Macaca mulatta: one gene and its partner. The protein of the gene in region 1 purifies or fractionates together with the protein of each later gene. This does not show direct contact. Links are inferred from orthologs where the notes say so. Each region holds a gene or a part of one and is shown in the gene's direction. Other genes may lie near its edges.

Region 1 (4,112 bases):
CACAGACCCATAAACAGGGGTGATAAATGCTATACTAAATTTGGAAACCAAGTACAGGAGGAAGACAGGAAAACAGTGAAGAGCAAAGTGAGGGAGAGGCTATCAGCTACAAGACCAGTTGGAAGGCTTTTGCTCTAGTCCAGGGGAGAGGTTACAAGAGCCTGAATTAGGGTGTGGCTATAGAAATGGAAGGAATACAAGTAATGTTAATAGGCTAATTGCAACCCTACTGTGAAAACCTTACTGGTTGCAAGCAGTACGAAGGTGAAACTTGTCCAACCAAGTCAAGGGCAGTGTTGCGCGCGCGCGCACGCACGCACACACACACACACACACACACAAAGTAGTAGGACAGCTGAATTAATCAACTATAATTAAAAGCATACTTTTATTTGGCTTCGGTTATCAGAGTGTTTTAGTGTGAAATATTTAGATATTTGCCCCCATTTTCCCCACTTAACTCAGAAGCTGGAGAAACATTAACACATATGTATAACGCTTTCCATGTTTTAGGTTTTTTCTTAGCGCTTCACATTTGTTGACTCCTTTATCCTCATTAACCTTTATTTTACAGATGAGGAAACTCAAAACATAAGGTTAGATAACTTACCCAGGGTAAAGCAGCTGAGAAGTAGCTGGGAAGAAGCTCAAGCATTCTGGCTATTCTCAACACTACACCAGAATAAACGGGGCCGACACACAACCTAAGGCAAGTCACACTTCTGTACTGGATCGTGAAACAATCACTCTTATGGTTGACAAAGGTTCTGGGATCGCAATTTCCCCACCTATAAAATGGAGATAACGACGCCGGGAGTTTGGTGCAGAGAGAGAGAGAATGAATATGAAAGTGAACTTCAAACTATGTATATGGCTCCACGTACTACTTTTTCCAAATATGAATACGGGAACCCACAAACTGCAATTTATCAGTCGGTAGAGCTCGTAGCGCCAGGGCGAGACTCCGCCTCTAGGGCCCCGCCCACCGCGAGCGGCAGGTGGGGCCGGCAGATCTTCTTTGCGCATGCGGAAACCGCTGCCCGCTCCCACCTCTAAACCAGGCTCAGAGTAGCTGCTGTTTCTGAGAGAACGATTCGTAGGACAGCCCCTGACGCGATTCCCTTTTGCCCTTCTTTCTGCGGGCCTTTCTGGTACTTGAGCGGTGTCCAGAGCGTGACCAGTTCTCGTCTATCCGGCTGTCTTTAAGGAGCGATGACTAGCGTTGGCCAATAGTTGGCTGTCGAAAGTGCCGGCCCCCGCGCCGGCGCCTGCAGCAGCCGGGTGGGAAGGCTCAAGATGGCGTGCCTGTTAGAGACCCCAATCCGCATGAGCGTCCTTTCGGTGAGTGACCCGCTGCGGCCGCCCGCCCGCCCTCCAGGGAGCCCCATCCCGGTCTCCACCATTCCCCCAAGCGTGGTGTGCCTCCTGGGCACCACCCCCTGGGGTGGTCCCCGGCTCAGTCTTGGGCCAGGGAGTGAGCGAGGGTGGACAGGCGGGATAGACGGGCAGAGGGGACCCCGGCCGAGCCAAAGACATTTCCAACTCCGGGAGCTCCTGCCGGTGCGGGTTTCCAGGATGGCGTCTGGCAGGCGGGGTAGCTGGGCTTACAGACAACTGGCCCGGCGGCGCGGCTTGGACTTTGCCAAGCGTTTCACTGAGCCTTCCTCTTAGAGATGCCGCTTCCCGGGGGCCGAGCGCTCTGCCTTGTGAAGCGCCAGGCTTGCAGCCGGCCTGGGAACGAAAGCTCACTCAGCTCTCCCGGGCTTTGGCAAGAAGAGGTGCAGGCTCCTTGGCCCCCATTTCCTCAGAGCTGCCAGGCCAAGTCTGTGCGACTTCTATTGCGTCCCAGCACCTGGGCACCGGCTGAAGCTGTTTGCTTTTTGGCAATGGTGATTCGTATCAGCTGCGACTCTTCCTAGTGTGTGTGGTTATTTAAGCCCCTTTCCTCCGCTCTGCTCAGAGGTCGCGGCTCTGAGTCAAAGGAACTCTATGTTCCCTGTGCCTGGTATTCCGTTTTTCTTTAAGGGGAGTCAAACATTGAAGGGGGGAAAAGGGGGAGAGATTTCCCCATTGTTGAAAGAAGGGAACGTATTGACATGCGAGGAAGTAAAACCTGTTTTGTTTTTTTTTAAAAAAAGTTTTTTTTAAAGAAAAAGACGACTTTCACCTTTCACTATGTTGCTCTTGAACCAGGACCAGGAATGAAAGTTACTGGGAGATAACTTCGAAGGATTTTGCAACAAATTCGAGCTGTCCGACTCTGAGAATGGTCAGTTTACCAATGGTTCATTTGCTATTGTTGGAAACAAGCAGGCACATACTAATTGACCATCTTTTAGACTTGTGGAAGCCCGTCTGATACTGAGAGGGTCGTTGGATTATAAATGACTTGTCGGGTTGCTAGAGTCTTGTAACTACAACCGGTTTCTTTTCTCTTCTCTGACTTGTCCCACAAACACCTATCTGAAAGCAGCTAGGACATTTGCTTATGATTCAGGGTTAGAGCGGTGTGGCAGACCTCAACCTTGAAAAGGCTTAAGTTGTCAATACAATAATAATTTAATTTTGTGAGCCTGTCAACAGATTTTTCCCCCGATCCATTTTAGCAGTCGTTTTTTCTTATTTTTAAACTGCAACTAAGGAAATACCGTTTACCTAAGTATTATATCAGATTAGCCTGTTACTCCATCACTGACTGTAATACCCAGGAATATTTTGTGGGAGTGCAGGCCAATGACTTTTACCTCATTATGTTAAAAAATAAAAATAAAAAAAGTGTGTGTCTTGGCTGTTCTCAGTTCCCCTTTAATTATGCATTTAGGTTTCATTTATTCTTCAGTTCACCTGAAGCTTACTTTTTGGATGTTGTCAACTTGTGTGATGCATATGATTTAAAGTTTTCATTTGTTTCACTTCCTTGGTAAATAATGTTTTCTGCTTATTCAAAAACTTCTTGAAGAGTATTTTCTATCAATACTTCTATTTACAATTTGCCTTTAGCCCTAGTCTAATTAGGGGCTTTTTTGGGGGGGGGGGGGAAGTAGGAGCTTTTGGGTAAATGATTTAAGATGTTTAAATTCACTGATTTTACTAATTTAAAGTAAAACCTGTACCTTTCAAAGTACTACCCAGAGCACCACGTTTTGAAACGCAAACTAGAACAGGAAGTATTCATCAGAAATTATCTTGAATGGTTGATTCCTTTAATAAGCTACAATGTACCAGTTATGTACAAGCTCTGCATTGTATACCTTAGAGAATGCAAGGATGAGATCAGAAATGTGTTTAAGGAGCTCCTAGTCTGAATGATGGTGTAACTTGATAAACATAATTTCAGCAAGGAGGCCTTCAAGTTGTTTTAAAGGATTTCCATTTGAGTCTCTTTATACCTTCTCCTTGGGAGATCTCATTGATTTTCTTATAACCTTAACTGATCAGTTCACACATCTACATTGCCAACCTTGACTTTCTTATACATCTAGTCTTGTATCTTAAATTGTGTGTGGATGACACCCATCGCTTCCAGCAAAGCACATTCCTTCTCCTAAGGGGAATTAGTTATGACTTCCCAATTTCTGTTAATGGTATTATCTTTTACTGATGAGTCACTGTTAAACCTCCTGAATAATCTCTGGTTCTTCCTTCTTTCATCCCCCTATATCTATCAGTTGTTAAGCTCTGTTGCTTCTTTATTCTTAGTGTTTCTCGTATCTTTCTGTTCCCATGACCACCCTCATTCAGGACCTTGTTGTTTTGTGCCTGCACTACCACAGCGTCCTTTTAGTTATTTTTACTGTCTCTAGTGTCTTACCCCCTCAGTGCAAGCCCAATGTCTACATTAATTTTCCTAAAGAACTCTGCACAGCTGCTCCTCGGTTTCTTTTCTTTATTGAGTTTGTTTTGCCTAAAGGCCCAAGTTTATATTCAGCTTCAGAGTTGAGATTCTTTATTTTCTTCTTTATCTTCTTTTTTGTTTTTTGAGATGGAGTTTTGCTCTTGTTGCCCAGACTGTAGTGCAGTGGCACTATCTTGGCTCACTGCAACCTCCGCCTCCTCAGTTCAAGAGATTCTCCTGCCTCAGCCTCCTGAGTAGCTGGAATTACAGGCACCCG
Region 2 (3,801 bases), on another chromosome or scaffold:
TACTTAATATTCTCACAGTACATGTGAATATTTGTTTTACCATATCCTCAACTCTGAATATAATAAATATTTGTATTTTCTAATTGTATAGATGAAAAATTAACTCATTTTTATTTTCAATAGATCTCAATTCGATGAGCATATGCTATTATTCCCTTCTGTCAGATGAGGAAACTCAGGCTCACAATGCGTACCTGACAATTGATTAACTGATGATTCTTCAGGCAGCACAGCTTCCTGGTAACACCACCATGAGGACTCTGGAATCAAACATTACTCTTTTAAAAAAAATTTTGAATCATCTTCCTCACAAATGTGTAATATAACAACAGCTTTCACTTTAAAAGCACTTACTATATGCCAGGCACTATTCTAAGCACTGTACATATATTAACTCATGTCATTAAAGTAATTTTGTCTTTGTATTTTCTGACTATAAAAAGATAAAAGTTGCCCAATTCAGTGGCTCAGGCCTGTAATTCCAGCCCTTTGGGAGGTTGAGGCAGGAGGATCACTTGACCCCAGGAGTTGGAGACCAGCTTGGGGAACATAGACCTTGTCTCTACAAAAAAATTAAAAGACTAGCTGGGCATAGTGGCACACACCTGTAGTCCCAGATACTTGGGAGTCTGAGGCGAGAGGATCGCTCGTGTTAAGGAGTTTGAGGCTGCGGTGAGCTGTGATTGCGCCACTGCAACCCAGCCTGGGCAACAGAGTGAGACTCTGTCTCAAAAAAAAAAAAAAAAAAAAGAAAGAAAGAAGAAAGAAAAAAGAGAGAGAAAGATTAAAGTTACCTTTAAAAAAAGAATATAGAAGTATGAAGAATAAACAGTAAAAATTGCATTAAAACATCTCACTCTTGTTCCAGGGTCTTTTGTTGTTGTTTCACAACTGCTGCCAAGCCCACCCTGCTCCACAACAGCTAAGAACCAGATTGCAGAGGAAATGGAGGCTAGGGGAGGGACGACTGATGGAGGAGTTATCCTGGGAGCGGAAGACTGGAAGAGACAATTCTCGAAAGAAGTAGAAAAGTTCAATAGCTCCAGAAAAAGAGGTAGCCCCTCCCTAGTAATCAGAGTCAAGCAAATAACATTTTTCCCTCCGGGATAGGAAACAACAGAAAAGACTGACAGGGCCAAATGTGTAAGTGGGGGGCGGGGAGGGAGCAGAGGGTGGGCCCACTTCTGCCGCGCTTTTGGTGGGAGTGGAAATTAGGGACCCGAGCTCACTGGTGACGTAGATCTCATGTGACCAGGAGTCGACGTGTGCAGAAGTCCTGGTAGTCTGGTCCTTGTTCCCGTCTGGATACCAGCTTCCTTCAGCAGTGCAGGCGGTGGTCCCTGAGGCTAGTGGAAGGAGTGAAACTTGCGGGAATTTTGCAGGTTGGTGTCAATGTAGGTGTTGACTGGGGATTTCTAGGGTGGGGGGGCTTAAGGCAGAGACTTGTGGGAGTGCCAGTCAGGTCCGTCTCTCCACCCTCCACCTCCAGGTCTACAGGAACTGATGACCCTTGGGAAAGGGACTAGGGGTCCTAGGAGAAGAACAAGTAGACCTGTGATAGTTTAAAAATAATCGTCCTCTGCTATCTAATCCTGCTTTCTGGACCCCCACCCTCCTCCCGAACCCGCCTCAGTCTTAAAGATAGTTTGGAAATAATCTGCTTTCTCACTCTTTGTTTGATGGGAAAAACGAAGTGACTTGCATGCACTGTGGATAGGGGGTGAACTGGAGGAAACAAAAGGTGGGAAACTTTCCATATTCGAAACCCTAAAGGAGGAAAGCTACGTGTGTCAGTCTCTGGCGCTGGTCGGCCCACCAAGCGCTCGCCCCACCCCCACCGTCCCCTCCCGTTTCCCGTTTGTCTGCAGGTCTGTTGTTTCTAGCAAGACCCAAAGCTAGAAAAGGAGGAGGAAGAAACTGACCCGATCAGTGCCAGGTAGGTGAGAGGAATATTATAAAGTCTCCTGGGGTGGAGACAAAGGTTGTAAGCTCCACTGTTCCTGCCGGCTCCCTTCCACCCCACCCCTTTCCCCTCTTCTTTTCTCTCCCCCTTCTCCTTTCCCCTCTTCCTCTGCCTGCCAGCCAGCCACCTTTCTCTTTTCTGGCGTGGTCCCTGTGTTAGGCCCTATGGGGGAAAAAGGATTGGGGAGGGCTGGGAGGCGGAAAGAAGGGCCTTGGAAAAGGTTAGAGGGAAGGACAGGAGAAGTGAGGAGGTGGAAAGTGGAGGTAAGAGGAGTGGGGATAGTGAAGCTCTGATTGCTGACTGGGCTTCTTAGTGGAAGATATTTTATAACAGTCTGAATAAAAAAAAATTAAATGCTGAGACCTCTGTCCACAACACCTGTCCACTCACCAAGTCTTTAACTTACTGTCTTCTTTTTGCTTTCTAGAAGTTATTGTATTCCAAGAAGAATAAGCAAAAAAATAAAAGAAGGAAGGAAGGAAGAGAGGTAGAGATACAAGATGAAATCCTGTCAAAAAATTGAAGGAAAACCAGAAAATGAGAGTGAACCAAAGCATGAGGAAGAGCCAAAGCCTGAGGAAAAGCCAGAGGAGGAGGAGGAGAAGCTAGAGGAGGAGGCCAAAGCAAAAGGAACTTTTAGAGAAAGGCTGATTCAATCTCTCCAGGAGTTTAAAGAAGATATACACAACAGGCATTTAAGCAATGAAGATATGTTTAGAGAAGTGGATGAAATAGACGAGATAAGGAGAGTCAGAAACAAACTTATAGTGATGCGTTGGAAGGTTAATCGAAACCACCCTTACCCCTATTTAATGTAGTTTACCTTGATTTTTATCTGATATTAACAATACCATATAGCTTGCTTTTTATTAGCATTTCCTGATATTCCTTTGTCCATATTTCTACTTATAACCTGTTGCTATTAATGGTTTTAGATGTATCTCTTGTTATCTGCATCTCATTGTTTATTGTATTTTGAACCAATCTACAAGTCTCTGTCTTTTAATAAAAGAACTTTACTCATTTGTAAAAAAGAGGTTCTTGGTAGGATATAAAATGGAAAAAAGGCTAAGTAATATGTGAATATCATATTTTTGAAAGGTAAAAAGTACATTTGTATATTACATATATGGACATAACTTGTGAAGGATGAAAGAAAGTATAGCCTCTCGGTGGTGGGATTATGAATGATTTTTCTCCTTTTGCTTATTTGTATTTTCTATATTCCTAAAATTAACACACATTATTATTGCTAGAATAATAAAAGCTTTATAACAAAAAGAAGCAACAAGCAGCACTTACTAGTTTATTTCAAAACGTATTGGGGCATTTAATATTTGTTGACAGAATTTTAGAAGCAAATGTGAACTTCAAAGCAACTCCAGACCACTTAGCTAGAATAATAAATTTTACATATTTTCTCATCTTTAAAATAAAGAAAATAATCTCACAAGGATCTGGTGAGGGCCAAATAAGGTAATGACTGTGAGCTATGTTTGACAGAGTTTTGTTCCCATTCCCAACTCCATAAGAGATTAATTTCAGGGATTTGGAAGGGTGGAGAAAGTAGTTCTTATCTGTGATTAAGAACAAACCCAAGGCTGGGTGGCTCACACCTCTAATCCCAACACTTTGGGAGGCTGAGGTGGGCGGATCACGAGGTCGGGAGATTGAGACCATCCTGGCTAACATGGTGAAACCTCATCTCTACTAAAAATACAAAAAATGAGCCAGGCACGGTGGCGGGCGCCTGTAGTCGCAGCTACTTGGGAGACTGAGGCAGGAGAATGGTGTGAACCCAGGAGGCGGAGCTTGCAGTGAGCCAAGATCACGCCACT

The links. The genes of interacting proteins can lie anywhere in the genome.
Region 2: the proteins of ARMC8 (region 1) and TCEAL9 purify together in Homo sapiens (affinity purification with mass spectrometry; 3 studies listed by BioGRID and IntAct, with this or other methods). This does not show direct contact. The link is inferred for Macaca mulatta from reciprocal best matches to the Homo sapiens genes ARMC8 and TCEAL9.

The regions. Positions count from the first base shown.
Region 1 is NC_133407.1:41,184,312-41,188,423, forward strand, and holds the start of ARMC8 (armadillo repeat-containing protein 8), read left to right. Parts: upstream 1-1,278; 5' UTR 1,279-1,296; coding exon of another isoform or gene 1,297-1,341; intron 1,342-2,138; exon of another isoform or gene 2,139-2,193; 5' UTR 2,194-2,266; coding exon 2,267-2,269; intron 2,270-4,112. UniProt on the Homo sapiens protein: Component of the CTLH E3 ubiquitin-protein ligase complex that selectively accepts ubiquitin from UBE2H and mediates ubiquitination and subsequent proteasomal degradation of the transcription factor HBP1.
Region 2 is NC_133426.1:109,998,167-110,001,967, forward strand, and holds TCEAL9 (transcription elongation factor A protein-like 9), read left to right. Parts: upstream 1-1,251; 5' UTR 1,252-1,382; intron 1,383-1,868; 5' UTR 1,869-1,936; intron 1,937-2,390; 5' UTR 2,391-2,463; coding exon 2,464-2,781; 3' UTR 2,782-3,258; downstream 3,259-3,801. UniProt on the Homo sapiens protein: May be involved in transcriptional regulation.